4 linked regions of the Struthio camelus genome follow. The protein of the gene in region 3 purifies or fractionates together with the protein of the main gene of each other region. This does not show direct contact. Links are inferred from orthologs where the notes say so. Each region holds a gene or a part of one and is shown on either strand. Other genes may lie near its edges. The genes, in order: PITPNM1, TACC1, VAPB and LSG1.

Region 1 (7,974 bases), on a different chromosome or scaffold from region 3:
CAGATGAATCATTTCCTCCGCGTGCCTATTTTAAGGCCTCCATTTTAAGAGGCGGCGCAGCACGCTGCGCTCCAGCACCTAAAACGACGAGCTCTCCACCGCCCAGAAAGGGAGATTTCAGTGACAAGCGCCAAAACCTCCCTGCGATAGCTGAATCCCACCTGAGCATCCAGGCTCTCCCACCGCAACCCCGCTTTCGTGCTTCCTGGAAGCACGAGAGTGATGCAGGGAACGGGGTGGGGGGTGGGGGGGGAAAGCAGGGAAGCGAGGAGCAGGGCGGAAGGAAAGGGACGGGGGTGCTCGGAGGGAAGTGATTTCATCTGTCTCCTCCCGAGACTCGCACCCGTTTTCTGCGGCCACTTTGAAGGAAGGGAGTCGTTTCCAGCTCCCCCTCTTCAGCTAAGCCCTGGCCTGTCCCTAAATCCCCTCCAAGAGCCCTCTGTGGGTTCCCACACGCACCTGCTCTTCTTGGAGAGGACACAGGAAGGCGAAGCTGCGCCAAACGACAGGGGAGAGGGGATGGGATAAGGAAAGAGGAGGGAGCAGCCTGCCACCAGCTCCGCTGCCAGCACTGGGGTGTCAGGGCCTGGGAAGGGAAGAGCTGGAAATACAGATACAGCCCAGGGAAGGCGGCAGGGGACAAAATCGTCCTCCGTTAACACTTCTAACGCGGAAGCTATTTCATCCGTGCGGCCTGAGCAGGGAGATCGGGGCACACGTGCCTCCCGCTGCCGCAGTCCCCACAACTCAAGAGACCCCAGGGTAAGTAAAGCCCGGCTTGTTAAAGACGCTGAGCCACGAGCCACCCGGAGGCACCCGTCCAGTGCCGCCGGGCACCGCAGGAAGGCAGCACGCACCTCTGCCTCGCTGCGAACTAGTTCCTACTCAGCACCCCAAGCGAGGCTCGCAGCGGCATCCCTGCCCCACGGCGGCCCGGAGGCCAGCAGCGGAGACGCCTACCTAAAATCCTCTGCCTCTTCTCGGCCGCGCTCAGGTTGAAGACGTTCGTCTGCTGGCCAGAGTCCGGCCGGTAGTAGGTCTCAATCTCGATGGAGAACTTCTCCACAAAGGGGCAGGTGTACCTGCGGGAGGAGCGGGAAGGGGGCTGAGCCGGACGCGGGGTAACCGAGTCCAGCAGCTCGCCCCGCTCTGAAGGCCACCCATCGGGTCGGTGGGCCCCCCGGGAAGCAGAGACAGGGTGGTCCCCCGCGTCGGGAGGCGCGCAGCCCCCCGTCGGCAGCCCACCTGGTGCGGGTGTAAGGGTAGGCGTTCCAGGACTCTTCCTCCACCTGCAGGGCAGCCTTGGGCAGCAGGGCCCGAAACCAGCTGGGGATGTGGGAGCCCACGTGGTAGATCTTGTGGGTGTACTGCCCGCTGCCCCCCGGGCCGTCGCTGTAGGGCCGGTTGGCCAGGATCTCCACGCCGCTGCCCTCTCCGCTCGACTCCTCCCGGCTCTTCTTCTGCAGGGCAAGGGGTCGGCCCGAGCTGCACCCCCCCCCACTCCGCCACGGATCGGCCCCCCCCCCACCTTACAGACCCCCCCCCCTCCCCGTTCCTCACCCAGCCTTCTGCCCCCGCACCTCCGCGCCCGCCCCAGGGAGCCTCGCACCCCCGAAGCCCAGCACCTCACAGGCGCCCGCAGCCACCCACGCCCCCCCAGATCCCTATTCGCCCAGGCAGCCGCCCCCCCCCGCCCCTGCACCCCCCGACACCCGCTCCAGCCCCACGCTCAGCCTTGTTGGTCTGTGTCCCTCACCGTCCCCCCCCAAACCTCACTCCCACCCCTGTACGCATAGCAGGCTCACTGGTGCCCCACGGCCCTGCACCCCCCCCCCACCTCCGCGCTCAGCCCCACCACCCTGCACCCCCCACCTCCACGCTCAGCCCCATGGCCCTGCGCCCCCCACCTCCATGCTCAGACCCACGGCCCCGCGCCCCCCCCGCCTCCGCGATCAGCCCCACCACCCTGCGCCCCTGCACCCCCTCGCCTCCGCGATCAGCCCCACCACCCTGCGCCCCTGCACCCCCCACCTCCCCGCTCAGCCCCACGGGCCCTTGCACGCCCCGCCGCTCAGCCCCACCGCCCTGCGCCCCTGCACCCCCCGCCTCCCCGCTCAGACCCACCGCCCTGCACCCCTGCACCCCCCCCGCTCAGCCCCACGGCCCTGCACCCCTGCACCCCCCGCCTCCACGCTCAGCCCCACCGCCCTGCGCCCCTGCACCCCCCACCTCCCCGCTCAGCCCCACCGCCCTGCGCCCCTGCACCCCCCACCTCCCCGCTCAGCCCCACCGCCCTGCGCCCCTGCACCCCCCGCCTCCCCGCTCAGCCCCACCGCCCTGCGCCCCTGCACCCCCCACCTCCCCGCTCAGCCCCACCGCCCTGCACCCCTGCACCCCCCCCGCTCAGCCCCACGGCCCTGCACCCCTGCACCCCCCGCCTCCCCGCTCAGCCCCACCACCCTGCGCCCCTGCACCCCCCACCTCCCCGCTCAGCCCCATGGGCCCTTGCACGCCCCGCCGCTCAGCCCCACCGCCCTGCGCCCCTGCACCCCCCACCTCCCCGCTCAGCCCCACGGGCCCTTGCACGCCCCGCCGCCCCCGGAGGTGGCCGAGCCCACCTGGATCATGTAGAGCTGAGCCACCTGGTACTCCTCCAGGCTCATGGGCAGCAGGATGTGGTACTCCTTGATGAGCATGGCGGCGGGGGGCAGCGCCTGCGGCCGGCACCGCCGTCAGCCCCCGGCCCGGCCCGGTCCGGCCACGGCCCGGCCGCCGCCGCCGCCGCCGCCGCCGCCGCCGCCGCCGCCGCGCTCCCGGCCCCGCCCCGCTCCCATGGCAACGCGCCCCCTCGGCTCGGCCCCCCGGCCCCGCCCCGCTCCCATGGCAACGCGCCCCCTCGGCTCGGCCCCCCCCCGCTCCCATGGCAACGCGCCCCCTCGGCTCGGCTCGGCCCCAGCGCTGCCGCCGAACCTGCGCTGCTCCGCACAGGCCCCCTCGGCCTGTGACATCACAGCCCGTTCCCCTGGAGACGGCTGTGACGTCGGAGGCGGGGGGGGGAGGAGGAGGAGGGCGGGTGGAAAACCGTGACATCAAAGCGGGGAAGAGGCGCTGCGCCGGCAGCCCCGTCCGGGGTCGGCCGGGGCCTGAGGCAGGGCACCTAGAGCAGGGCGGTGGGTTAAACAGCCGCGGCTCTCTTGGCCTCTCCTCACATGAGAGATGCTTCCAGTCCCTTAATCGTCCACGTGGCCTTCGCTGGACTCGCCCTCAGCAGGTCCATGAGGAGCCCGGACCCAGCACCCCAGATGTGGCCCACCTAAGGCTGAGCAGAGGGGGAGGACCACCTCCCTCGCCCTGCTGGCCACACTCTTCCTAACACAGCCCTGGATGCTGTTGGCCCATGGTCAACCTGGTGCCACCACGACCTACAGGTCCTTCTCCGCAGAGCTGCTCTCCAGCTGGTCGGCCCCCAGCCTGTCCTGGCGGCTGGGCTTATTCCTCCCCAGGAGCAGGACTGTGCGTTTCCCTTTGCTGAACTTCATGAGGTTCCTCTCCGCCCATCTCTCCAGCCTGTCGAGGTCCCTCTGGGGTGTCAGTCAGCCACTTCTCCCAGGTTTGTGTCATCCATGAACTTACGGAGGGTGCGCTCTGTCCCATCATCCAGGTCACTAATGAAGATGCTAAATAGTATCAGCCCCAGGGATGCACCGCTCGTGGCTGGCCTCCCACTGGACTTTGTGCCACCGATCACAACCCTCTGAGCCCGGCAGCTCAGCCAGGTCTCAATCCACCTCAGCGTCCGTTTGTTTAGTCCGTGCTTCAGTGTGTCTTACGGGACGGCGCCGAAAGCCTCACCACCATTGAGATAAACAGCGTCCACTGCTCTCCTCTCTGCCGCCAAGCCCATCATCTCATCGTAGAAGGCCATCAGGCACGACTTCCCCTTCCTAAAGCCGTGCTCCAACCGCTCCTCCCTGCCTGCGCCTCTCCTACCCTGCCTACCTCTGCCTCTTCCTGCCCCACCAGGCTCACCTTGGCCTCTGCCAGCACAGCCACGGTCCGAAAGCAGCTGCTGCCCTTGCTTTTCCCCAAAGACATGTTCCTCACCGGTCCCCTCTGCCTCATTGCGGGGTTAACGCGGGAACACTGGACTCGGTCAAGCCCCTTTCTTGGTCACCCACACCTCATAGCTCTAAGGGAGCTCTAAGATGTCCCAGCCTCCTCAACCTGCAAACGGGCCTTGTTCTCATTCCAAAAATAGCCCTGCTCTACTAAAAATCCCTTTCAGCTCAGTGCTCCTCCTGCAGCCCCATCATCCCCTCCCCGCACACAGAAAGGACGCCATGTCACCTCCGCGTCCCCCAGCGTACAGGGTGGCTGACCCCACCACCACTGTTGAGCTATTCAGCCCTCCCTCCTGGAGCAGACAGCACCCACTCCCCAAGCGCGGGGCAGGACACACGCAGTGGGGCAGCACGATGGTCTCCTTGCAAAACCCGTAGCTCCAGACTCGGCCTGGCAGGCTGCCCTAGCGCCTGGCCCACCGGCGTAGCCTGCAGGGCTATGCCACGCACGTGGCTTATCTCATCGTGAAGCGCAGGGCTGGGCTCCAGCAAAAGAGGCTCTCCTGACCCCAAACGCGAGATTAAGCCGTGCCAGCTCCTCCACAGCTTCCGGGCTGAACTGGGGGAGCAGCTAGCCTTGCCACCTTGCCCATAGCAGAGGGGACGAAGCACAAGGGCCAAAGGCAGAGCAGAATCCCAACAATTTCCTTTATTTATAAAAACAAGCATTTATAAAGAGAGAAGAAAAGCCCTGGAGGTGCTCGCAGCACGCAGCAAAAGGCCGGCCTCCCGGCGCCGCCTAGCAGCGGGGCAGCTGCCGAGGATCAGGCGGCCGTCAGCTAAAAAGGTCTGTACGGAGCGAAGGGAGAACCAGGCTCTCAAGACACTGATTGGTGGCAAGGTTCACGGGGATGGACGACCTCCAGGTCTCGGATGCAGAGATGGACAGAAAGGTCCATAAAGAGCGGCTGTTACGTGCGTGCGTTTCGCTCTGTCTCCGCCAGGCACTCTCTCACCAGCGCCCGAGCGTGGATGATGCCTACGGGGAGAAGCACAGGGGACACCGCGCGTCAGCCGAGTCCGTAACCGAAGGTCCCAGCTCTGCGTGTGTGTCCCCCCCCCAACCCCCCGACATGTTCAGAGCAAGGGGAGAAGGAGCCGGTGGGGTAAGCAGAGCTCAGTTGTACCCCTTCCCCTCCAAGCCTGTGCGGGACGGAGGTTCTCCCGCTGCTGTCACAGCGGAGACTAGCAGCAGAGCACGGCGTCCCGCATGGAGAAACCCGAGCTTTCAACCCGGGCCAAAACATCTCCTCTGTCCCCCCCACCGCCACCCCACTCGGGAGAAGGGAAGGGAGAGAACCGCAAGAATAACCAGCTGCCGCTCCAGCCTCCGACGCCAAGGGAGACGCGCCAGCAGGGCGGCACCGCCAACGCGCCTGGCGCGGCGACAACGCGACGGCGCGCTCGTACTCGGAAGATGACAGCCCCTCAGACACCCGGAGCAGCGCCGGTCCGCTGGCGACGGCTCAGCGGGCTTCGTGCATGCAAGGCGGGGGGGGGGGGGGGGGCTTTTCCCTCTGCGACAGCGGGCCCCCCAGCTGGACCCCCCCCCCGCCCAAAACCGGAGCGTCCGGCCGGCCCCGTACCCCGTTTCAGCCGTTCCATGGCGCTCTTGCTGCCCGCGTAGGTGGGCCGGATCTCTTTGCCCATCTCCTCGATGACGGAGAGCAGATCCGTGTAGGTGCTCTGGGAGCCCTGCGACCCGGGCGGCTTCATCGCCTGCGAGGGATGGGGAGGAGAGGGGTGAGGGTGGCGCGGGCAAGGCCTCTCGCCCCGCTCCCGCTCCCGGTCCCAGCTCACCTGCACGTAGCCCATGGACGGCGGGCCGAAGTCATTGAAGAGGGGCCGGAAGGGGGCAGCGGCTCCAGGCACGGATCCGGACGGCGACGGGACGCTCGTGGCTGGCGGCGCGGGCAGAGAAAGGGCAGGTTACCGGCGAACCGGCTGCCGCGGCCTCCCTCCCTCCGACCACCTGCCCCCTCACCGGGCCCGGCTGCGGCCTAGCATCCCCGGGGGGGGGGAGGGGGGGAGGAAGCCGCTGCCCCACGGTTTTCCCGGTGTGTGGGGGAGGGGCTCTCACCGGCGGGCGGGGCCCCCGGCCCCGGTGGGGCGGGGCTGGCGCTGCTGCTCGTGCTGGTGCCGGCGGTTCCGGGGGTGGCGGGGGCGGGCGCGATGGGCTTGTAGGACATCCCCGACGGCGCGCGCCGCTCCCGGCTGCCCGGCCCGCGCGGCGGCGGCGGTTCCGGCGGCGGCGGCGGCTCCGGCGCCGCGGGTTGGTGGGCGGCCCCCGCGCGCGCCGCCGCCGCCGCCGATTGGCCGGCCGGCGCGGAGCCTCACGCCGATTGGGCGACGCCGCCGCTCACCGCCCTCCCCCCCCTCCACCTCCGCGGTGATTGGGCCGCCGCTTTGCCCTCGCCACGCCCCGCCCCGCGCCGGGACCCGGCGCCACGGGGTCGGCTGCCCCCACCACCCCCCCCCCCCGCAACCGTCCGCTAAGGGCGGGTGGGCGCCGGGGCCGCGGGAAGCCGCGCCGGCTCGGCCGCCCTCGGAACGCCACCCGGCTCGGCTCGGCTCGGCTCGACGCTCCGCTGCCCCCCGCACCCGGCGTGACCGCTCGCCCTGATGACGCCGCCACCGCCTGTGCGCCTGCGCGCCGCCCCGCTGACGTCACCGCGTCGCCTCCCTCCCTCCCCCCCCCTCACCCCGGTCACCGTGGAGACCCGCGGCGTCGGCTCGGCGCGGGGGGAGGGGGGGGAGGCAGCGCTCCTGACGGGACCCGCCGCCTCCTCCCTCCCCACCGGCGGCCTCGCAGCGGTGTCGCCGCCACCGAGTTTGGGATTGGAGACCGCCTCCCCCCCCTCCCCTTCTTCCTCGCCCTTTCAGCCCCCCCGCTGTCTTTCCCACCGGCCCCCCTCCCGGCCCCCCCACCTCCACTGCCGGCTGAAGAACGACCAGGATTTTATTCTCCGTTTCTCCCCCTCGAGGGGTTTACGCCGTCGAAGAGGCCCAAGCGCCGCCGAGGAGCGCTCCCTGGCTTCCTTTGTTGGGGGGGGACGGCGGGGTAGGAGGGAGCAGCTCCCAGGGCCCGCACTGGCCCCCAAGCTCAAGGCCGGGAAGCAAAAGGGGCGCCTGGCCCAGGCGAGGTGGGACGGCGGGTAGAGCCGCGCGCACCTGCCTGGCCCTGGGGCTGAGCAGCGCCCGGTAGGGCTTGGCTTAGCGCGCACAGCTCGGAAGGAGGCAGGCCCTGGGCGACGCTGCGAAGTCAGCCCCAAAGTCACGACGCGGCGGCGGCCGGGGGCCGGGGGGGTGGTTGAGGGTTCGGCGTTAACGGTTGGATACCGGGGCCGAAATGAGCGCCGGAGCGGCGAGCCAGCAGGGTCGGAGCGCAGGGAGGGAAGGACGGGGAGGTCGGAGCTGGACCACAGCTGCAGGGCAGGGGATGGAGACGTTTCTCCGGGTTTAAGGGAACGGCAAGCCCGAGTTAAGGTTAGGGTAAGGTTAAGGGTGGGGAGCTGCCAGGTTTGGGGGGCAGCAAACAGGACAAGAGGGGTTGCAAAGCGGGGAACTCGGAGAGACATCAGAGCCGTGCAGCGTAAACCATCCGGCGCAGAGATCAGGGCGAAAGCAGCCAAAGCCCTGCCGAGTCTGCGTTGAAAGGGCTTTGGTGCGGACCCAGGCGCGCTGCACCGCGTTTCCAGCTTGGCAGCAGGGCAGGCAGGCCGCCAAGGATGAGTCTGAGCAAGTCCAGTGCTGACGAAGTGAGGGCCTTGCCTACAGGGCTCGGGCGTTGCGTTGCCCCAGCCCAGCCCGCGCTCTGGGGCTCCTCCCGCGCTGCAGGCTGAGCTAGGGGTCT
Region 2 (7,456 bases), on a different chromosome or scaffold from region 3:
GCGAGCAGGAAAGCAGCCCGCCCTGGGGAGCACCCTGCCTTCGGCTGCGCGGCCCGGTAACGCGCGCGTGCCGTGCCCGCGGCCCACTGCTGGCCAGCCCACTCGTGCGCTGGGTCCTGGCTTCGGCCACTGCTTTTAGGAACTGCTCTTCCTAGGAAACACGCACACAAAACATACTTTCTCAGACTTTTGGGACAGTAACTCCCCAGGGTCTGAAGCAAAGCACTTTCTCGAACAGAAGCTCTTGCAGAAATGATCTTAATTCCTGCAAGGGAATTGTCCTGGTAATGAGGTCCCGGGGTGCGGTCTGAGCGAGCGAGCGCATCCCCGAAACCCGGGGTGCTCCAGGAAGCCGCTGGGTGCTGGTAAGCGACCGGGCGCTGTTATGAGCGTTGGAGAGATGCCCAAAGTCGAACAGAGCAGGGGCTGCCCTGCAGCCCGGGGCAGAGCGCGGCTCAGGGCACCCGCCCGGGGGCTCCCGGCCCCGGAGATGCCGCCGGCGCCTGGGGCAGGCCTCCCTCCGGCCGACGCTCCTGGGCGTTTACGGACGTCTCCGCGTCCTGACGCTGCCCAGTCATCCTGCTCTGCAGGAAGAGCGGATGGAAGGAGGGGGCGTCCCCTCCCCGGAGCCCTGCCTCCGATAACCTCTGCGCTCGCTAGGGATGCCAGAGCTTCGGAGCCTCGTCGCTGCGGCACGAGAACCGGCTCCCGCCCCAGGGGCCGGCCCCTCCGTGCTGCCAGCTGCGAGACCCCTCCAAGGGGGGGATAAAGCCAAAGGGGAGGGAGGTGGTGCTCAGAAAGGCCAAGGGTTAACGGGGAGTCGCGCACAGAGACGCAGCAGCCTGTGGCGAGACGCACAGATAAAGCGGCTACCGCACGGGCTCCTGGGGGCAAAGGAAATCCCCTGGGCTTTCCGAAGGTCCCTGGCAATTTCTCCAGTAATGGGGTTCAGCAGTCTCAGGTTTTCACATATTTAACAGCAGATACGCAGGGAAGAGGCCAGGCTACTAACTCTAGGGAAAAAGGATCTGTGCGATGAAAGCTCGGCTGCCGACAGCAGAACGCAGCATCGCGTCAGCTCTTGTGACAAGGGCAGGTCTCTCCTACCGCAAGTGGCAGGCGAAGCATGCGCAAGCCAGCTCCCGCCGCCCGCCCTCCGACACCCGGAGGCAGCGGGAGGTATTACTGAGCCCGGCAAGGTCTGAGGGGGAAGTTGGAGAGGGCAGTTTAAAAGACAAAATGACTCAACAAAACCCTCTCTTCCTCTAGATCAATCCATCGCAGCCCGGCCGGCTGCAGGCCCTGCCTCTCCGGGCACCGCCTCTGCCGGGGCGGCTCCCCAAACCCGACTTAGGGATCTCTGCCCTCTGCAGCCTCGCGCACGCTCACCCCCTATCTCGGCGTGGGGACAGCAGGAGAGCGTGACCGGTGATTGCAAAACGGCCTCATGATAATTTCAGGCTGCACAGGCGAGAGCCGAGGGGAGCCCAACCGATTCTTTCAAGCCTGCAGTACAGCCCCCTCCCCTCCAAAATGATTCAGTAAAGTCAGCATTTAACGTCAGTTAAAGAACAGCCTTTGCAGAGCACACACAGCCCCCAGTACTGGCATTTGAACCATCCAGACCATTAACCACAAAAAATGCAGCAGGCATTATTCAACACAAGCAACTTCTCCTCCCTGACCCCACCCCGCTTTTCTGCATCCGGAGCAGAAAACCGAAAAGCAGAAGATGCACGCTTGCGCCTTACCTTGGGTCCCAGCCTCCGGCTCTCGCGATCCCAGCGATGGCTCGCAGAACTCCTTTAGGGGCGAGCGGATCGGTGTTTCTGCTTCGGGGGTCTCAAAATTACCTTCGGAGTCCGAGCTGCCGAGGGGGGGAAAACAGTGAGGAATTACCGCTTTCCTGGCTAGCTCCGACATCCTTCACATGCCCTACACATCCAGCCAGGCCGGCTCCTGGGCCGGACCGGCCGACCCGGAGAAGGCATCCTGCGGCTGCTGCTCTTCCGTTTCCAGCAGGCCACGCTAGCAAACGGAAAAGGTAGAGAAGGTGAAACAACATCACAAGCATCCCCTTGCGCAGCCCCGGCCGAGCGAGCCCGGCTCCTGGGCCATGCGTCTGGAGCACCCAGGTGTCTCCCCCCGACATTGCTCTCGTCACACCTCCCCGTCACCCCGGTCTTTCTCAGCACCCATTACTGACCTCCACGGACGTGGCAGCCTAGCCCACATCTTCCTCTACAGCTCCAGAGGGCTGGAGCATTAGGAAGTCCAGAAAACAAGCCTCCATCTGCCTGCCCCACGCCTGCTAGCATCTTCACCGAGAGCCCAGAGTCTCCCTCTGTTCCCGCTGCCTTTCCCTAACGCTAACAGTTCCCAAAATCCACAGAGCTGAACGCCCAGGAGCCACGCAGGTTCCCGGCGCTGCAGAGGAAGCAAGCCGGAGCAGCGCAGCGCGCGGGGAGCGGAGGGGACGGCGGGCTCGCAGGGGCAGGCCCGCGCGCGGCACAGCCATGACGCTCGCGGGAGCAGCTCCGCATGCAGGGCGGGCGCCGCAGGCAGGACACGGAGCGCCACCGCCGAGCCTTTCCGCCCCCGTCCCCGAGAGGACGTGCCGTGCCAAGAGTGCCAGCGCGCGTGCAAGGCAGCGGGGCCGGGAGGTTAACGGGCAGGGGACGAGCGCAACCACCCGAGAGCTCGCGAAGCAGGGATGCCGCGTACTTGCCTGAAACCCAGAGATTTGCTCTCCGCCTGCGAGTCGTCCTCTCCTCCTCGCTCTCCCCCACCATCCTCACCTCCAGCAGCGGCCCCGCCGCGCACGGCGGACCACGTCCACTTGGCCCACTGCACCGGCGAGAGGATCTGCCAGGCGCTGAACGCCATGGGGCCGGCTCCGCCGGGGGGGCCCCCCCGAGGCGGCGGGCGCCGGACGCCCCCGAGCCCGGCTGGCGGAGGCGGTTAAGCGCGGAGCATCGGCCGCGCCGCGCGGCGCCTTCCTCCCGCGGCGGCGGAGGCGGAGGCGGGCGGGCGGCAGCACCGCCCCGCTGCAGCCGCGCCGCTCCGCTCCGGCCTCCCCGCTGCAGCCGCCCCGCTCCGCTCCGCGCCGCTCCGCTCCGGCCTCCCCGCTGCAGCCGCCCCGCTCCGCTCCGCGCCGCTCCGCTCCGGCCTCCCCGCTGCAGCCGCCCCGCTCCGCTCCGCGCCGCTCCGCTCCGGCCTCCCCGCTGCAGCCGCCCCGCTCCGCTCCGCGCCGCTCCGCTCCGGCCTCCCCGCTGCAGCCGCCCCGCTCCGCGCCGCTCCGCGCCGGCCTCCCCGCTGCAGCCGCGCCCGGCGCTCAGCGCGGACCCGCCGGCGGCACGTTCAGCCCCTTGGCGCGGGGATCAGCCGGCTGCCAGAGCCGGCGCCGCGCAGCCCCGGCCCCCCCGGACGGTACTACTGGCGGCAGGGAGAGCGCGGCCGGCCCGGCTGCCCGCAGCGCGCTTCCCCTGCGGCGCCCGGCTCGGTCGGACCTCGCCGGGAGACGCCGGCGGGCTGCGGGCTCGCCGAGCTGCAAGCGCCGGGCGGGGAGGAGGGAAGAGGGAAGCCCGCAGCAGCGTCCCCCTTCCCCTCCCACCCGTGCCGCAGCGATGGGATAGGGCTGGGAGTGCATAATCGCAGGCTTTCGCTGTGCTACATTTGATTGCTTTGCCCCTCCTCTCCCCTGCTCCCGGTCAGGCTGTCCAGAGCAGCAAAACGCCCCAGATGCCGAGCGCTCTCCAGGTGAGCACCTGCAGGCCGTGCCGGGAGGGCTCCCCTTCCGCTCCCGCCGCTGCATTCCTCGCACGGAACAAAGCCCAGCTTAGGAAACAGGCTGTGCACCACGGAGACCCTAACCCAAAAACTCTCAAAACCACTTATTTCTGCACAAATGCTAAACATGGAGGGGCATCTCCACTGCTCCCTGTGGGCAGGTTAATGCAGGCTGACAACCCACAGCCAGGCTTATGCACATTGCTCCTAAATCCCAGACAGATACCAGAGCCTAATTCACTGTCGCCCTCCACATGCTCACGTCAGGATGCTCCACTACCCTTTCGTGCCCCTCACACCACACTGGGCCAAAGGAAACCCCTGTGCACCAGGGCAGGGTGACTCTGAAACCAGATCTCCCCTCCCTGATTTATCCCACACTTATCCAGGGTTGCACCTGTGCTGTAACATATCCCACCACGAGGCGAGCTGCAAGATTCCTTCCACACCGCGTAGGCCAGCAAACGCTGCGCCCCAGCTGCAGCACCGCAGCGGCCGGCCCAGGCACGCGAGGTCCTCATGCACGGGGTCCCCATGTGGCCAGCAGGCCACAAGCAAGCCTTGCTTCCCGTGCAAGAGTGGCAGCCCAGATCAGGCGGAGCAGAGAGTGCTCCTGAGGCATCCAACATGCGGAGAAGCAAAGGAACAGGCAGCAGAGACCGGGAAACACCTGCCCCTTTATTTTCCAGGGAAATGCCGACTTCAGTAGCTCTGGCTGATGCTATATCCTTCCATGACAGCAGATTTATTTATTAAACTATTGTTGTTTAAGAATAACAGCAAACAGTCCCTGAAGAACTAAATACTGGCATGCTGGCCTCCCTGGGGCATCCTCCCCTTCTGGGGGCTTCGCTCTCCAGGTCGTCACCTCCCCTGCTTGCTAGAGAGAGAAGTGTTAACGTTAGCAGCCTTGCAGCGGCCGCAGTGCCAGGAGGCGCGTCAAGGGCTTCGGCAGCAGATCTATTGCAGGCAGCGGCATTACTGGCGTTGGACAGTTGCTGCCGCAGTGCCCACAGCTTCCCGGAGCCGGCGGCTTGCCCAGACCAGGTGAATGCATCTGCACTGTGCGCCCAAGGCTGGCTCCCCACCCGCTGCCCTTGGCGGGTCCGAGGAAGCTCTGGGAAAGGGAAGACTACTGTCCGGTTGTACAGCCCAGCCCAGCTCATTGCAGAGAAGTGCTATTGGCCCTCAGTAACTGCACAAAGTGCTCACGTGGCAGGCCAAGACCACAGCTTGATGCTTTTCTGTGAATCATCAGCTAGCTCTGCGCGCGAGGAATGCTTTTGCATGGCTGAATCAGCCGAGACCCACCCATCTGGTCTGGCTACCTCGCTCTAAAACCAGCCTCTATCAGATACTTCAAAGGGCCTCATTCCTCGTCATGGAGCATCTCAAATAACCTCCCTGCAGGGAACCTTTCTGCCTAGCTTCCATCTGTTGGTGTCTTTATTAAACAGATGCGTCATTGCTGCACTCTTTTATGGTCAAGACTCTGTCAAAAGAAAATCTCTTACCCCCCCCACCATACAACTTCTCCAAATTTCCCCCAAAACACCTCTGGCTCTGGCTCAGGCAAAGCAGAGGTGCTATCATTTGCATACTGCCACACGTCCAAGCAGTGATCTGATGTTGCACCCACACACCCAGCCGCGATCTGCAGAGAGCCGAGCCAGATAAAGCTCACACCTGCTTCACTGAGCCACAAGCGGACTAAGCGCCTTATTAAAGCTTATCCAAAAAGCAAGAGGCTGAAGCTCAGCATCCTCTTGGCTGTGTCTGCTTTGAGCAGAAACGAGCAGCCTCCTGCTTCCCACCATCCGGAGTGGCAGAGCGCAGGCTGATTTCTGCAGATGAATTTTACATAAGGAGATTTTTAAGGCATGTGTTGTGGCATGAATTGCTTTGCAGCACGACACACTGCAACCTGAACTCCTCCTCCCTCTCCCTCTGTCAGTCATTTCATGAACCTGAAGACCCAGCTACAGCATCTGCATCGCTGCATGTGAAACCAGCACACGGCTGCTCGAGTCCTGCCGGCGCCGCACGGGGAAAATGGAAATGTGAATGGCGAAGGAGCAGCAGCTGGTCTGGGTTGAGCGGCTCGCCTCTGCTGCAGAGAGGAAGGGTCTACATCAGCCAAGAATATAGATATTTACTTTTATAACCCCCCACTTGTTGAATGAGGGAAGCGGGACACATGAACCAACCGCAGAGGAAATTAGCGGCATCCTTCTATTGTGAAGGCTGCACAAACCGCTGCCGAGAGAGGACCCTCCTCCAGCTGCCACCGACGAGGAAGGAGCAGGGACAGGAGCAGCAGGACTGAACGGCACCGCACGGGCACGGGCTGCGAAGCTCCTGACCTGCACGCCCTGGGGCAGGAAGATATTGGAGCAGTTAAAGAGCAGAGCCTGCTTCCGCTTGCCATTTCCTACGAGCAATTAAGAAAATGCCTCGAGTGGCATTTTCCAGCTTGGCTCCGAACCCAGCCGGCAGCAGATCAAACACGGAGGAGATAACCTGACTTTGTCAGCCAGGCCAGCGGCTCTGGCTGCCAAACGCTGCTTGCATAGTCAGCAGGCACATTTCTGCAGAGCAGAGAGGAAGCTGACCTGTTCAAAACAGGACCTGCCAGCAGTTTCCACCGCACAAGCCCCGTGGCGAGCTGCAGCCTGCACGCACAGCAGCTGGACAGGCCGTCCTTCGCACTGCCGTAATCCCTCACCCCCGGCCGGGGCTCGGCGCTGCACCAACGCGCAGCGGGCTCGGCGGCACGCACCGACGTACAGCCTAGACCGTCCTGCCCAAGGTGCCCCAACCTCTCCCATTGGCAGCCTGGAGAAGCCAATTCGTGGGACAGCAGAGGCTGGTGCTGCCCCTGCGGGCTGCCCTCGGCCGGGGCAGAGCGCAGCCTGGTGTCCCCTGTCCCAGGAGACCCGTCATGGGTGCCCTGCTTCGTTTGGCAGACAAATAGCTCTGCTTCCTGGAGCTGCCTCTTTTTAAACAAGTACCTCGGGTTTTTATACTTTGTTCCTCTGAAAAAGCAAAGACTCTGGGGGTAGGATCCAGCACGTCTCGGGCTGCCTCAGGTTCACAGCCCCCTTCACGTCAACAAACGTCACGAGAGCACCAGTCCCGCTCGCTCCTTCTACAGACAGCCCCAGCACACGGCCCGCGAGGCAGCTCACGCCACCCCTCCGTGCAAGAGCAACGGTGACGCTGCAACAGCCTGTGACTGCCTGCACCGTCCTCGGCAGAGGCTGCAGCTACCGGCCATGCCTGGACCCTGTTGGCTTTGCAGCGCACGTGCTTTGAACTCCACTCCCCCCTCCGCCAATAACTGCAACAATAATTAAAGAAACAAAATGCATGTTTCCTGTTGACTTCTGCAGCTGAGAAAGCTGGCGGTCTGTGTCGGGACAGGTTCGCCAGGGTGCTGAGCACCTGGCCCTGGCATCATCCAGCATAGCTGGTGCTCTGTAAGGGGAGGGGACCAGTAAAACTGGCACGTAGGAGTGGAGCTGCCACCTTTTCCCATTTCGTCCCTCTCTTCTGGATAGTTAAATCAGCCTGACAGCGCCCAGCCCATGACAGTCATCCCTGACATGGGAGCATCCCCGCGGCCCCAGGCGACCACAGCCCTGGGGGTGCTGGGGCTGTGCGCCCC
Region 3 (6,847 bases):
AAAAAAAAAAAAGAAAATAAGATATCCCATGTTCATGTAACAACAACCAACAAGATGTGTAACTGAAAGATGTATAACTGATTTTCATAGAATCACTTTTCATCAGGGTTAGTTTCAAACTACAGCTGTAGCTTTCCACCCAGGGGCTATGCATACAACCCTTCACATTTGAAGATCACAGTATTATCTCAGAATTTGCCACGCTCCATTTCCTATTCAAACACCAGCGCTGTATCAATCTTTCCTAAGAGTGCCATTCTGCAGTGTAGTGCATTATAATATCCCAGATCATTTTGGTAATAATACAAAAGCCTGAGAATTAGGTCAAAAGAACATGATGTCAACTCTATTTACATTTTAAATAAGCTTCATCACAATAAAAAAACATGGCACATGCTTGTAACAGCAAATCCAGGCTGATCACTTTTTGTGCATCACGGTACTTTCTCTAAGTTTCGGTTACTGTAAGAAGCAAGTGATACATGTTACACAGCTACATCATTTGCACAGAATCTTAATAAAATTCTTCTCCTCTTAACCAAACCTCCTTGCATCAGCACCACAAGTTAACAACCCTCACACACGTGTACTTCTAATGCAAATATGACTGCCGTAACCTAGTTTGGCGTGTGAAAGGAAAGTTAGCGCGAGTGTCAACAGAAGCAAAGATTTGGTAGCAGAGGCTTTGGCAGAAACTTTCAAACCAAAGAGGCATAATCCTCTGCAGACTTGCACGTGCACATACTACTACTATATCTTCAGTATTAACTGCTTATGTTAGTTGGGCACAGTCCCACGGCCACGTTAGCCTTGCAGCAGTCTGTCTTGCTCTCATCCCCATCGTTTACCTGTGCTACTTGCACTGTGCTTGTCGAGCTGACAGACAGTCAGGTTATGGAACTGCTTAGGCTGAAAATTAATCCAGTAACAAGAAAGGGTGAGGAGGGGGTGGCAGCGGGAAAGAGAAAAAGGAAAATCAGTTTCCAGGCAGACCGTGCAGCACTCAGAAAACAGCATCAGGAAAACTGCATCTTCCTGCACTACAGACTTCTGCCAAATTAAGGCAATGAGATCTCACATTTAGTAAGCTAAAGCTGGCATGTCTAGGTGTACGCACTGCAGTCACACTTTTCCTTGCCATGCTGACAGGTCTGTTCAAAGTAATTAAGGCACGTGCCTAACTCTCTGTGTCTGAATCCAATGCAAATTCTCATCTGCTTAAAGCTGGGCATCCCCTAAACAATTTACTGAACCGGTGCCTTTCAGAGCAAATGTGCTGCAGTAGCACTCGATACAATCTATTCACTGAAGTGATGTTAAACTGGCAATCATTTTGATTAACAAGGCTAAGAATAAATTCTCAGGAAGTTGCCCAAGTTATTCCCAGAATGTTTTAGATGCATTTTCATCACCTTTCCCCAGACAACAATTTTTGCACTCCAACTCAGTAACACAGACATATATCCAAAGGCAAGGTAATTGGTAAAGGCAGAAATACAACCAGTGCTTCTGCTGAGGCAATCCCTCTTGCTCCTTTGTGGAAAGTAGCAGAAAGCAAGAATAGGAGGAGAAAGACTTATTTCACCACTGTCTAATCCTGTCCACGTGTCAGACGGAAGTCATTAATCACCTGGCATATACTGGTCAGCCACAGAAAAGTAACCACGGAGCCTTCAATAGGTGGAGATTAGGAGAGGGGGAAACCTAAATTGTTTTGTAGCTATTCTCAAGAGCCCAAATCCTACTTATTAGCAAGATGTGTCCTGACTGCTGAAAGTCCACATGGACCAACAATTCATTCATCCACCGGAAGAGTCAGGTTTACTATGTGCATGCATCTGGGGGTGGAAGTACAGGAGGTGAATATGACACTTCCCTTTCCCGTCACAGACCTGCTGCTGGCCGCAGGGCATGGAAATGCCTCCCCAGCAGCTTCCTCAGCCCCTCACACTGGGATGGGAACTTACTGCAGAGCCTGAGTAAGCATTAGCACCCCCAATGAAACAAACATCCAAAAGCTCAGGCATGCCTCCATCTGCATGTTTCAGCCTTTCTACTTAGAGTCCTTCTTACCATCGCACCTCAGTTGTTTCTCAGTTTCCTTATTACGCCTCTGACAGTATCTGAAGTCACCTTACTGTTTTGTTTCCACGTTTTTCTCCCATTTTATCTATGTGGGACTGTATCAGCAACAGAGATAGTCGAAATAAAAACACTGATGGCAAAACCAAAGACTGTCAAGAGAGCTCAATACTAGGTGCGTAACCCGACTTACTTTAAAGTCATATATAAAGTTGATGACCTTTAAAAATAAACACTGAAGTGAAAAAAGCTGAAATGTCAAGCAAGACGTTTTGAGCTGTCAGCCAGGTGCCTGCGAATCAAGAACATCTAAGATCCAATCAAATTCTCCCACCATCTTACTTGTCTTTAAACAAATCACTTAAGGGCTTGATCTTCTGCTATTAAAAGCCTTAAGAGTTGACAGCGACTCCAAACAGAAGCAGGTTTGGACCCTTATAGTTTCTCTCCCTGTGAAGTCAGGAGAATACTTACCTAATTACAGAGAATCTTGTGAAGATTAGTGTTTTAAAAAGCACTGAATGCCAAGTTTTAATCATCATCATCATCTGACTCTGGAGACCTTTCTAATTAAGTGAGCATCAGCAACTTTTGAAATCAAAGTCGTCGAAGAATGAAAAACAAGAAGTGCCTCTGTTGCATAAACATCTTATTTCAAAAGTAACTTACTGAAAGGATCCAACAATCCCAATTTGTGAACTACTTTTAAGAAAAACTCAGGCAGTTCTTAATTCCTGTGTAAACCATTCCTGTGTAAACCCTTTCAATCTCGGCCCAGATTTCACATACAAGCACCTAGAAAACTGTGCCCTTGTGGGATCATTTTCTTTACTCTTACCATGACTATCCTCACCCAAAGGAGCCCTTGAAGTGAAGTGGAAGGGACGGGAAATGGTCATTTTCACTTTTGCTGTGCCAAGCAGTAGAAACCTTGATGAAAAAATTATTACAAAAATTAAAATACCATCCAAATCGCTCCCCGTGCATTAGTTTATGCCAAGGATTATTTTTTAAAAATTATCTAATTGATAAAATAATCCCAGACTGAAAAAGAAAACAGAGAAAAACAACTATACTACATGTTCCACATGCCAAACTTGGAGCAGGGTTTACAGTTTGTAAATTATTCCATTTGGATGGATTAATCAGTGTCCTTCTCCGGCCTGTTTTGGCACAACCTGTTTTTGCCAGAGCATGTCTCATGCTTAATGGGGGGGAAAAAAAATGACACAAACACAAATATGAGACTGAAGACTATTTTCAGGATATCAATTAGTATATAATGTTTGTCACCTTCTACATCTTCAGAAGAGGATTATTAACTGTTTGACTTCGCAGTTTTAAGAACTATGAAGCCATACATAAGCTTGCCAAGAGAAAGGAAAGAACACGCCCTTCAAGTAATTTTTGTAAAAGGCTCATTTGCTTGTGCTGATTTCTTCAGAATTTTATTACATCCTACGATTATTTACAGATATTGTAAGCAACAAAAGCACGCAAGCAGAAATATCTTTTTCTGCATCCTAAACTTCAGAGAGATTTATTTCTGCATACAATGGAATAAACAAGGGACTGACAGAAGAATTGGCTACCTTTCAGAGGTATATCTCTGTCTCAACAGTGCTTTCACATCCTGAGTCCCAAACACACCACATTACATTGCTCATTCCATCCGCAAATATGATCTATACCACCTCTCTCCAGGTATGAAAAAGAAAATAGTGGCATACTCTCTTTTGACAGCGGAACAGTTACTACAATGTCATGGTTATTGAAAGAGAGGCAACAGTGATACCTGCTTATTCTACATAGCCAGAAGCCTCACTCAAATGGGCTGGCGGATGTTGAAAGGATACTGAAACTGAGTCCCACACCTACACCGTTTTACAATTTGTGTTGTAAGTAACTGGATCACCAGGCAAACCTCCCCCTTCTCTATTTTTTCCACCCCTCGTTGTGGAAACCAACCAAGAAAAGAGGATTAAATTTAGAACGATGAAATCTTTAATCCATAGCATGATGGCAGGAGGCACTTCATTTGCAGCTGAGAGAACTAGTCACTAAAGGAATTTAGTAAAGAGATTATTTTCATAAAGCACTTCTAATAACGTGAGATAAAGTACTGCAGGCTGCAGCAAGACCCAATCTATAAAAAATTTTTTGAGGCCAGATGAATTAGAGTTGAGGTAGGCAATTTTCAGAGCAGTTAAAACGCAGGAAGGACAGACTCAGCCAACTGAGTCTGGAGTGTCTTGCTAGTGTAAACAGTCAGACACTCCTATCCATGTGCATTTTACTCCTACACTGAATTAAACACGGAAATGGTGATTTGCTTTACAGGCATTTTCAATGGCAGCAAAACTGTGACAGCTGTTTCAGACTGATGGCACAAACTGCCCTCTGCGACAAGGTTGCCCAGCAGGCCACGTTTCCAAACTCAGCAGTAGTCCAGGCATATCAGAAAATATCCTATATGCCTTCTGCAGACAAACCGTTTCCATTTCGGTCTACAAGGCAACGGTATGAAAGGATTTATATATTTAATAAATATTGGGTCAAAAGCCCTCTGGCAGATTTGGCATGAGTCTGGCCCTTACTTTAGACAAACTGGTACGTAAATCCTGGTATACAAACACAAAAGAGGCTGCTTTTCTGCCCTGGTTATCACGTGGAAAGACAACGAAGGGAGGCCTCAGCGCTTCTTATTGCGGGAACTGTCTTCACAGTGCAGGACTTCCTCCTTCAGAGAGGAGAGAAGTTGAATTGGGAAAGAGTCCTTAATCTAACCATATTGTCACTTAAATCAACGAGAATTTACTCGGAGAAAAAAATGGCTTCTAGCAGCACGATGATAATGGGAAAGATCATACTCCCTACAAAAACAAAGATGAAATGTCAGTCTGAAACAACAGCTGTTACCACAAGCAAAACTGTTACAAACATCATCAATAAAGCTTTCAAAGCCAACCAACTGCACTGACAGAAAAAGTAAAAAGGCTGTTATTGTACCGACTAGTACAACTGACAGAGTTGCTTTCTATAGTTATTAATTGTCGCCAGCAGGGAGCAAACACAAGACCAATATGGTAACAAGAGAGTGAAAAATGAGTGCGACTGTAAGATGTGGGCAGAATTAGCAAGGGTCATTTGATCCCTGCATTGTCCCCAGCTAAGCAAAAAGCTGTGTTTAGAGGCATTCTGAAAGCAAGAAAGAGAAAGTCTCAGGTCACCTAGCTTCTACAAAAATGACACTGCAACATATGTAGAAGTTGCTCATTTGACACAAAACTCATCTGATGCAATACCTGCCAGGGCTGGATGCATACAAATCAAGCTGCTTTTAAAAATGGATATTTATTCATAGATGTAGGCTGCCCTAAGGTTGGACAGTTGGATCATTCACTATGGTGATTATGCCATATTTCCAGTTGAGTTTCAAAGCAGATCTGACAATCCATTCAAAGATTCACACTGCAATTTTTACTACAATCCAGGCCTAATTCTGAATATGGCACAACTAAACAAAATTCAAGCTGATGTTCAAACGTAGCTAACCTATTTAAAATGAAATCAAGCGTTCCTGCACAGCCACTGTTGATAAATTTTTCATTTATAAAATCTGTGGAGTGAGGAAAAAAAGAAATGTGATTTCCAGTGAGAAGGAACTACCAGAAAACTCCTGTGCAAATCTGTACTCCTCATCGCTCTTTCACAAGTGACACGACACTGCACAGAGCATGCACGGTAACAATGTGTACACAGTTAATTGCTAAGCATCTGTGTGAACTGCATCTGCTATGATGCTTTACCTGTGTCATCATTCTGACATGATGGCCCCATTCCTCGAGCTTATGGCAGCCACCTTGTACCTTGTGTTTCCATACACATTTTCAATATAGTCTGTTCCCGGATATATTTTCTGGAGAGATGAACAGAAGACAGACCCCACCACCCAAATCAGACAGGCATTCTGCCACCTTGGTGGACTTTAAATAATAAGCTCAGAAAACTGGTTTTTGCACATCACAGAATCACAGAATGGTTGAGGTTGGAAAGGGACCTCTGGGGATCATCTAGTCCAACCCCCCTGCTCAAGCAGCATATCTCCCAGGATCATGTCCAGGTGGGTTCTGAATATCTCCAGCAAAGGAGACTCCACTACCTCTCTGGGCAACCTGTTCCAATGCTCTGTCACCCTCACAGTGAAGAAGTTTTTTCTCAGGTTCAGGTGGAACTTCCTGTGGTTCAGTTTCTGCCCGTTGCCTCTTGTCCTGTTGCTGGGCCTCATCCTCTTGACACTCCCCCTTCAGATACTTGTACACGTTGATGAGATCCCCTCTCAGTCTTCTCTTCTCCAGGCTGAACAGGCCCAGCTCTCGCAGCCTTTCCTCAGAGGAGAGATGCTCCAGTCCCCTCAGCATCTTCGTAGCCCTCCGCTGGACTCCCTCCAGTAGCCCCATGTCTCTCTTGTACTGGGGAGCCCAGAACTGGACACAGTACTCCAGGTGAGGCCTCCCCAGGGCTGAGGAGAGGGGCAGGATCACCTCCCTCCACCTGCTGGCAACACTCTGCCTAACACACCCCAGGATCCCATGGGCCTTCTTAGCCACAAGGGCACACTGCTGGCTCATGCTTAACTTGTTGTCCACCAGGACTCCCAGGTCCTTTTCTGCAGAGTGTGATTGTAATGGTTCCATAGCTCAAACTGAGCAAGTGTTTCCACCTTAAACACCTCTTTTAAAAGAGGGGTTAAGATTTTAATATT
Region 4 (7,532 bases), on a different chromosome or scaffold from region 3:
TCCTATTGTATTACAGCTCTGCAGAGCAAACAAAGCCATTTCTGTGATGTGACAGGCTTTTGTGCACTGCTGCAATCTCTCTGCATGGCAAGCAGCCAAAGATCAAGAGGCTCTTTCTTTACAAACGTTACTTAGATGTTCTCCCTTGTCTCCTGCCCCTGAATGTCACGGTATGATTGTGCGGCTGAGAGAGGGGCAAGTGTTACTGTTGGCAAAAGACATTCTCAAAGGCACCTCCCACACAGAGTTACTGGAAGAGGCCAGAGCTGCAGCTGCTGAAGAGCTCGCGGAGACTCACACAGTGACCTACCAGCAGAACTGCAGTGCTGAGAGCCAGAACCGCACTGCTATTTGCTCCTCTTTCCAACAACATATTTTGATCACTTCAAAACAAAACCACTTCAGTGCTGATAACGAAACATTACTAACAGTACTTCTTTATTTTCCCTGTGCTTGGACACTTAATAATTGCTTCAAATGCTTTGGTTCGATGCAGGAAAAAACATTAAACATAATTTTCAAAAGCAGAGAGTGATATTCATTACCTTCTTTCAATGACTCTCCAAAGTTGACGCCAGAATTCTAAGTTTCGTTCAAATGGGGTGAGAATTAAGTTTTTTTCTTCCTCAAGGCTACGGAAAGAGAAAAAAGACATCATATTCAGGTCATGTCAGACAGTAATCACACCAGTTCTTAGATCCAGAAGGCTTTCCTTTCAGAGGAAGGTGTCAAAATCAGACTCTAATACTTGGCACCGTTTCTGCTGGTTTTACAAACAAATCGTGTCCAGGTACATCAGAGTCAGCGCCACTGGTTCACTGATGACACAATGGCTCCTGACCATATCAATGGAGAAACGACAAATGACAGAAAGGGCACAAGCTCATCAATAGACTACCTGTGACATTCCAGAGATGCAATTTTGAACCAGATCAAAGGAGACATCCCAAATGCCAGCTATCCTTCAGTAATCGCTCTGGTAAAAATAATCAATTTGGGAAACACTACTCGAAATGGCTCTAAACAAGTTTTGACTCACTGTTACCAGAGCCAGAGTGAGCTTGCTCAGGGCCAGCTTGGGTTCGCTGTGTGCAGAAACAACTTTCCAGACCAGCAGAGGCAGCGTGGGGCTAGCAAAAGCCACCAACATGCAGGGCCAGCAGCACCAAGCTAGAAATTCAGACCAGCACTGTTACTCTTCAAAGACACATATTCATCACACCTCCACCTAACAGGCAAGGGCAGGACATCACACCCCATCCTGAACATGAGCTAATCACAGCAGCAATGTTGAATGCACTGCCTTTAAAAAACTAGATGACACAACTCAGAAAAACAGAGGGAAGCATGTATGGGTAGGTACTACAAGAATGTGGACTGTGAACACTGCAGAACTTGCACGCACAGCAAAACTACGGTCAGCTCACCACAAAGGTGCGTCTGGACCGTGGCTGGGATGCCCAGCCTTTCAGAAAAAGTACAGTGAGCAGCTGACGAGATTATCCTTACGTGTCCAGCAAAGATAAACACAATCGCCTGCTCCTTTCATCTCCTCATCCCGCTCGCTACTTACCAGAGACAAGTGGCATACTCACTGGGCAAGCTGTCGTCTCCATTCCAGAAAGCTCTCTCTCTCAGCTTGCTTCAAGTCCTCTGCACTGGTTGTGCTATCCCAGTACGGCCTTAACAATCGCATTTTAGAATAAGTGGTCAGAAACACTAGTGCAGTTATACCAATAACGTTAGTACAATAAGCATCCAGGGAAAACATGGGCAACACATGTTTCAGCTACACTGAGACGGTTTTTGTTACACGTGCATGCACCTGTTTTCAGCAGTTTGAAGTACTCCTTGTTCCCTCTGAACTCCACCATCTAAAGTGATGGGACGCTATTCCATACGCAACAGATCTCACAGAGCTAGTTTCCCCAGCTAACATCTGCAGGGCATTTAAGGCAGGGGATTCATCTCTCTGTCCAGCACACATGGAGCTTCAGAAAGGCTTGACAGATGGAGACAGCCTGGGGCACAGAGGCACCAGCTCCAACAGTGCCAGGCTGCGAGCAGGAATCCCACAAAACCAAGGCAGAGGGGCTGGCAGTACCTGTGCGGCAGGCAGGCACCTATAGCTGCGGGTTACAGCAGGTCTGCGCACACCAGGTAGTTGCTTCCCCAAAAACAGGGTTTGGCAAGCAAAGGACAGTCCTGTGGCTCACAGCCATCAAAGGCTGAGCTCCCTCAGCACAGCCAGGCCCAGTCCAGCCCCGCTCCCGGTCCGTATGCGAGGAGCACGACTTGCCTCCGAGGGATGCGCAGGAACTGTCGGTTCTGCTCATGTAGCTGCCGGACACGCTGGGCCTCTTGGGCAGTGAGGAGACCGGTGCGGGTCTGGGCGGACACAAACTGGATGTTCAGTCGCTCTGTGGGAAGGATGAGAGAGACCAGGCACAGTCACCCACAGCACCTGCTCTCCTCGCCCCTGCCCCGCTGACGCCGTCACCAACCCGCGGCCGCTATCACCGCTCCAGCCCTGCTGACGGCCCCCGCTGGCTCGGGCCCCCCCTGCCCCACACCAGCCCCAGCCCCCTCTCCCTGGCCCCGGGTCCTCTCTGCTCCCAGAGCCGCTCCTGGCCGCCAGCCCCAGGTCCCCGGCCCCAGCCCCGCTGCCCGGACGCCCCTCCGCGGCCCCAGCCCAGCACCCCTCCCGCTCCCGGCCCCGCTCACCGGCCACGAAGCGGGTGCCCGCCAGCTCCGCCGTGGCCAGGAACTCCTCCAGCGGGCTCTGCTCGGCCGCCGACCGCCGCTCCGCGCCGCGCTCGCCGCCCACCTCGCTGGCGTGCAGCTGCGGGACAAGACGCCGCCGTGAGGCCGGGCCGGGCCAACCCTCACCCCCCCCCGCGCCCCCCGCCCTACCCATGAGGCGGCGCCGCGGCGCTCCGGGCCGCGCTGCCGCAGCAGGCAGCGGCCCAGCCCCGCGCTCCGCTTCCTGCCCATGCCGGACCCGCCGCCGCCGCCGCCGGAAGCGGAAGTGGAGGGGCGGGGCCTCCCCCTGCCCGCCTCGTCCGGACGGCGGCGGGCGAGCACCGCACTGAGCGCTCCGCCGCCCCGCGCGCGCCGCGGAACAAGGTTCCGGGCAGCGCCGTTCCGGCCCGGCTCGCCTGCCCCGCCATGGCGTTTCCTAGCCCCTCGGGCCGGCCGTGGGTGCGCGTGCTGGCCTGCCCCTCCATCCATCCGTTCATCTGTTCGTCTGTTCGTCCGTCCATCCGTCCGTCCATCCGCCCATCCATCCATCCATCTGTCCATCCATCCGTCCGTCTGTCCGTCCATCTGCCCATCCATCCATCCACCCGTCCATCCATCCATCTGTCCACCCATCCATCCGTCTGTCCATCCATCCGTCCATCTGTCCATCCGTCCATCCATCCATTTGTCCACCCATCCATCCGTCTGTCCATCCATCCGTCCATCTGTCCATCCGTCCATCCGTCCATCTGTCCACCCATCCATCCGTCTGTCCATCCATCCATCCGTCTGTCCATCCATCCGTCCATCTGTCCATCCGTCCGTCCATCCATCTGTCCACCCATCCATCCGTCCGTCCATCCATCTGTCCACCCATCCATCCGTCCATCTGTCCATCCGCCCATCCAACCATCCATCCATCCATCCGTCTGTCCGTCTGTCTGTCCGTCCATCCGTCCGTCCATCCACCCATCCATCTGTCCATCCGTCCATCCATCCATCCATCTGTCCATCCATCCGTCCATCCGTCCGTGTGTCCACCGACAGCTGTGCCCTCTGTCTGTGCGTCCGTCCACACTCAGCCCCTTGGCCGGTCCGCCCGTCTGCCCACGCGCTGCCTTGACCGCCCGCCCGCGGCACGGCCCCGCCGTCCGCCGTCCGCCGCGGACCAGCTCTGGCCCCAGCACCCCGGGCTGCCGTGCCAGCCCCGCGCCTACGCGGGCAGGTTAAACCTGGAGCGGGTCTAGGAGACCGCTGGAGGCGGCAGCCGTCCCCGGGAGCCCAGCGGTGGGCAGGGGCGAATCGGGCAGCCCGGCTCCGCTCACCGCCTTGGCCTTGCGCCGACGCTGTCTCCAGGAGGCAAGTAAGGCAGTCAGGTCCGCAGCCGCGCCTTCGTGCTAGTACCCTTGCCGTCGGGCGGGCAGGTTGGGTACCTTTTCCCGATGGAAGCTGCAGGCTCGCTGGGACGAGGAGCCTCGGGCGTCACGCAGCGCTGCTGCCGGGGCGCCGGCTGCCCGTCGCCGGTCTCCAGGCATTGCCGCACAACAGATGACGGACATGAAGAACGGTGGTGACAACCCCGTGAGCCAGAACGGACCTATGGACTTAAAGCTTTTCTCCGCCTTGTAAAACACAAAGCGAGACCAGCCTGCTGATTCACCTTTGTCCGATGCTCCATTCAAGAAGCCAAATACAATAATCTCCCTGTTTCTGGGCCAGTAACAAAGAGGGATTCAGGGATGCAGATGTGCAAAGTGCTTTAAGAGACAGCTGCTAATATCGAGCCTTCACATATCTTTAGCACAGAAGATATTGCCTGCCCAGCCAGGGAATCATCAGACGGGTTCAAATAGCAGCCATTGCAACGGGTCCAGGTCAAGATGGGGGAGAAGGGTAAATTAATAAACAACTCAACCTGTTCTTTTGAGGTGAACTGATTTATGAACCATTTCTCCTTTATGGGCATTGGATTAAAGCCAGACATTTCTTACTATAACTTTGTAGTGCGTATTAGTTGTAATCAGAATAATCTATCTCACCCCCTGAACATACAGGCGCTGCCTACATTCAGAGGCAAAGCTGTTTCTTAACTGTGGCTGCTAGTCCTCAGAAGCATGCCCGCATATAACGCTTGGTGGGTAGAAATGGCCTTCTCTCATGCTTAACACACGCGATGCCTCCCCATGATAAACATTTGTTATAAAGATGCAGCACTTCCTCTATTCTCCTTTCCAGAGTCGGCAACTGTAAAGCACAATTTTCCCAGAGCAAATCTGAATCCCTGCCATGCTCATCCAAGCTCTCCCATCATACACAACCTGCCCCGTTCCCTCCTCTTCTTCCAAAAGGCAAAGGAGGAAGATGAAAGGGAAATCAGTGTTTGCGTTTTCATTACGAGAGGTGCTTCAATGGAAGGATGGTGAGCTGCAGACAGCACACGGTGATTTAATAGATTCATTTTTAATCAAGTCCTGGCTTTAATAAAGTCATTTCAGGCCTTTCTGCAGGCACAGAGGCAACAATATGAGCACTCATTACCGTATTTCTTTAATAATTCAGTTAAAAATTACCTTCCTTCTACACTGCATAACCATCAACCAGAACAGCCAGACAGCCCAGCCTTTCCCCACCGGCTGGCTCTGGCAGCGCTGGCAGCCCGACGCCCAAGGCGCGCGTGATGCCGTTCCCAGGCTGGCCAGGGAGACGGGTAACTCTTTCATCCCTTCCGCGCAGGCCTGGCGCCGCGGCTCCTCGGCGAGCGACCTGGTCATCAACGCAGAGCGGCCGACGCCGGGCTGCGCGGGGCCCCCGGGCTGCGCGTCCGCCTCGGACGGCACCGGCGGCTGCCCGCTCCTGCAGCGAACGCCCGCGGGATGAGGGCAGCACGCGGCCAGCGACGTTAGCACGTGGGGCGCTGATCCAACTGCCGATGGCCCCCAAGCGCTTCCACGGGGCCAGCGTCCTCCCCCAGGGTCCTCAGCTTTTGCAAACGCTGGCGTGGCAAGCGCCAGGCCGTGCCCCTGCCAGCCGCCTGTTGAAGAGACAAGCAGACGGAGCTGGAGCCGAGGGAAAACGAGCCGGCAGCGGGCGTTGGGTTAGAGCGAGGCTCACGCTTTACCTGCGGCCTGCCCAGGACTGGCTTGCAACGCTCTGTGCGCACCCTGTAGGCAGTGAGGTTTGATGGTAACTGGAAAAGTGAAGATCTATGAATTTTGAGTGGGATTTTTTTTTTTCCCCCCCATGCATTGCTAACTTGTGACAATTCCTCGTTTCCAGTCCTAAGCGCTGCACGGCTGGTCACTGTGGATATTATCTGCCACCTTGGTGGGAGCTGCTGAAGAAATGCCCAAGTTGCCCTCATTCTTGCCACAGATATATTTCTAGGAGCTTCGTAAACCCTAAGGAATTAGTTTTGTTTGCTGATGCCAGCAGCACAGTGCGTCAGCGAGGACTGCTTTGAGCAGAACAACGCTGAAACACATATAGATTAGGTGATCCGAGCGACAGAGACATCGGAGCCTCAGTTAGATACTTCATTGCCTATTCTTAATTGCAGCATTTCTCATCCCACTCGTATTATTCCGTTGCGCCGACCTGAGCAAGAAATGTTTCGTCAAACGCGACAATCTGCTTCTCCTAGAATGTGTTCGTGTATGGATTTATCACCCAGCGTGAGAAAGGCCACTGAAGAAGAGATACTGTCTCGAGAGTTATACAGCGGCGGCCCGGGTACACGGGTGCGGGTGTCAAGAGCTTAGACAGCTGACGAGAGCACGGAGGAGAGCGGTATCTGGCCGATAAGTTCAACGAGCTTTCGATTGGCAGACAGCTCCCGGACGAAGCAGCCGTTACTCTGCGGTCCAAAGCGAGCGCAGGTTTCACTACTGGGCCTCACTTTTACAGCTCAGCTCTAAGAAAGCCGTTGGCAGCGCAGACCCGTGCTTGGGCTGGAGCACAGCACCGTCCCTGGAGAAAAGGCAACACCTGTGTATCACCAACACTTCTCACAGCCTCTTTGAACTACATTACTTGAGTGCCAAGTACTGCCGGCTTTTTGGAAGGTGGCCATAGCTTGTGGGACTTTTCTTGCAAAAACTATTGCATAGATGAAGTAAAAGTCTGCTCTCCTAGTGCGGTGAAAGCAGCTTCTCATGTCAAAAAGACTGGCTCTCTTCCCAACTTCTTTTGCCTCGGAGCAAAACCACTGCTCCAGTTTTTGATGCAAATCCTGAGAATTATTTAGTAGCAGGAGCTCGTTTTCAAAAGCCAATGACACCAGTGCATTTTGCCTAAAGGAAACATTGTTCTTTCTGGACAACTTTTCCTCCATTTTCCTCTAAGGCAGCACTGGGAGATCTCAGGACTGTGTCTCTAAAATATTCATGTGATGGCCATTCATTATTCATGTAGTTTCACAAGGCTTGATTCAGCGGTATTACCAGCTCGATCCTGAAGAGCAGATATATTAAGAAACCCCCCAGAAACACCTCCCTAAAAGAACCGGAAAACAATTTTGCTCCGTGCAAAATTGCTTCTGTTGGAATCTCTCCCTTTTCAGCTGCAGAAGGTAGTGTTTCACGAGCATAGGAAGAGATGGGCTTGAGGCGTTTATCTCAGCCAGGAGGGCTGCTGCCAGGCTTGTGGACACCACGCGTTCCCGCCAGGGTCTGCAGAGCCGCTGGAACAGGGCTGGCCAGCGAGGGCATGTTTGGAAAGGCCGTTCCTGCAAGTGGCCTGGGATCAATGGGGAAAGCGGGGGACGTGCTGCGTCCTGTGCCTCCTCCTCCCCG

What was found.
Region 1: the proteins of VAPB (region 3) and PITPNM1 purify together in Homo sapiens (affinity purification with mass spectrometry; 5 studies listed by BioGRID and IntAct, counting the BioPlex papers as one, with this or other methods). This does not show direct contact. The link is inferred for Struthio camelus from reciprocal best matches to the Homo sapiens genes VAPB and PITPNM1.
Region 2: the proteins of VAPB (region 3) and TACC1 purify together in Homo sapiens (affinity purification with mass spectrometry; 3 studies listed by BioGRID and IntAct, counting the BioPlex papers as one, with this or other methods). This does not show direct contact. The link is inferred for Struthio camelus from reciprocal best matches to the Homo sapiens genes VAPB and TACC1.
Region 4: the proteins of VAPB (region 3) and LSG1 purify together in Homo sapiens (affinity purification with mass spectrometry; 3 studies listed by BioGRID and IntAct, counting the BioPlex papers as one, with this or other methods). This does not show direct contact. The link is inferred for Struthio camelus from reciprocal best matches to the Homo sapiens genes VAPB and LSG1.

The regions. Positions count from the first base shown.
Region 1 is NC_090946.1:5,609,266-5,617,239, forward strand, and holds the start of PITPNM1 (membrane-associated phosphatidylinositol transfer protein 1), read right to left. Parts: upstream 3,015-7,974; 5' UTR 2,971-3,014; intron 2,715-2,970; 5' UTR 2,697-2,714; coding exon 2,619-2,696; intron 1,461-2,618; coding exon 1,246-1,460; intron 1,083-1,245; coding exon 961-1,082; intron 1-960. Other genes in the region: CDK2AP2 (cyclin-dependent kinase 2-associated protein 2), read right to left, coding at 5,033-5,100, 5,708-5,840, 5,922-6,022, 6,202-6,310. UniProt on the Homo sapiens protein: Catalyzes the transfer of phosphatidylinositol (PI) between membranes. Binds PI, phosphatidylcholine (PC) and phosphatidic acid (PA) with the binding affinity order of PI > PA > PC. Regulates RHOA activity, and plays a role in cytoskeleton remodeling.
Region 2 is NC_090968.1:7,287,471-7,294,926, reverse strand, and holds the start of TACC1 (transforming acidic coiled-coil-containing protein 1), read right to left. Parts: upstream 3,001-7,456; 5' UTR 2,887-3,000; coding exon 2,729-2,886; intron 2,714-2,728; exon of another isoform or gene 2,236-2,713; coding exon of another isoform or gene 2,207-2,235; intron 1,868-2,206; coding exon 1,752-1,867; intron 1-1,751. UniProt on the Homo sapiens protein: Involved in transcription regulation induced by nuclear receptors, including in T3 thyroid hormone and all-trans retinoic acid pathways. Might promote the nuclear localization of the receptors.
Region 3 is NC_090959.1:13,524,989-13,531,835, reverse strand, and holds the start of VAPB (vesicle-associated membrane protein-associated protein B/C), read right to left. Parts: upstream 3,008-6,847; 5' UTR 2,982-3,007; coding exon 2,921-2,981; intron 1-2,920. UniProt on the Homo sapiens protein: Endoplasmic reticulum (ER)-anchored protein that mediates the formation of contact sites between the ER and endosomes via interaction with FFAT motif-containing proteins such as STARD3 or WDR44.
Region 4 is NC_090950.1:18,428,948-18,436,479, reverse strand, and holds the start of LSG1 (large subunit GTPase 1 homolog), read right to left. Parts: upstream 3,010-7,532; 5' UTR 2,995-3,009; coding exon 2,914-2,994; intron 2,843-2,913; coding exon 2,725-2,842; intron 2,421-2,724; coding exon 2,300-2,420; intron 1,683-2,299; coding exon 1,596-1,682; intron 633-1,595; coding exon 546-632; intron 1-545. UniProt on the Homo sapiens protein: Functions as a GTPase. May act by mediating the release of NMD3 from the 60S ribosomal subunit after export into the cytoplasm during the 60S ribosomal subunit maturation.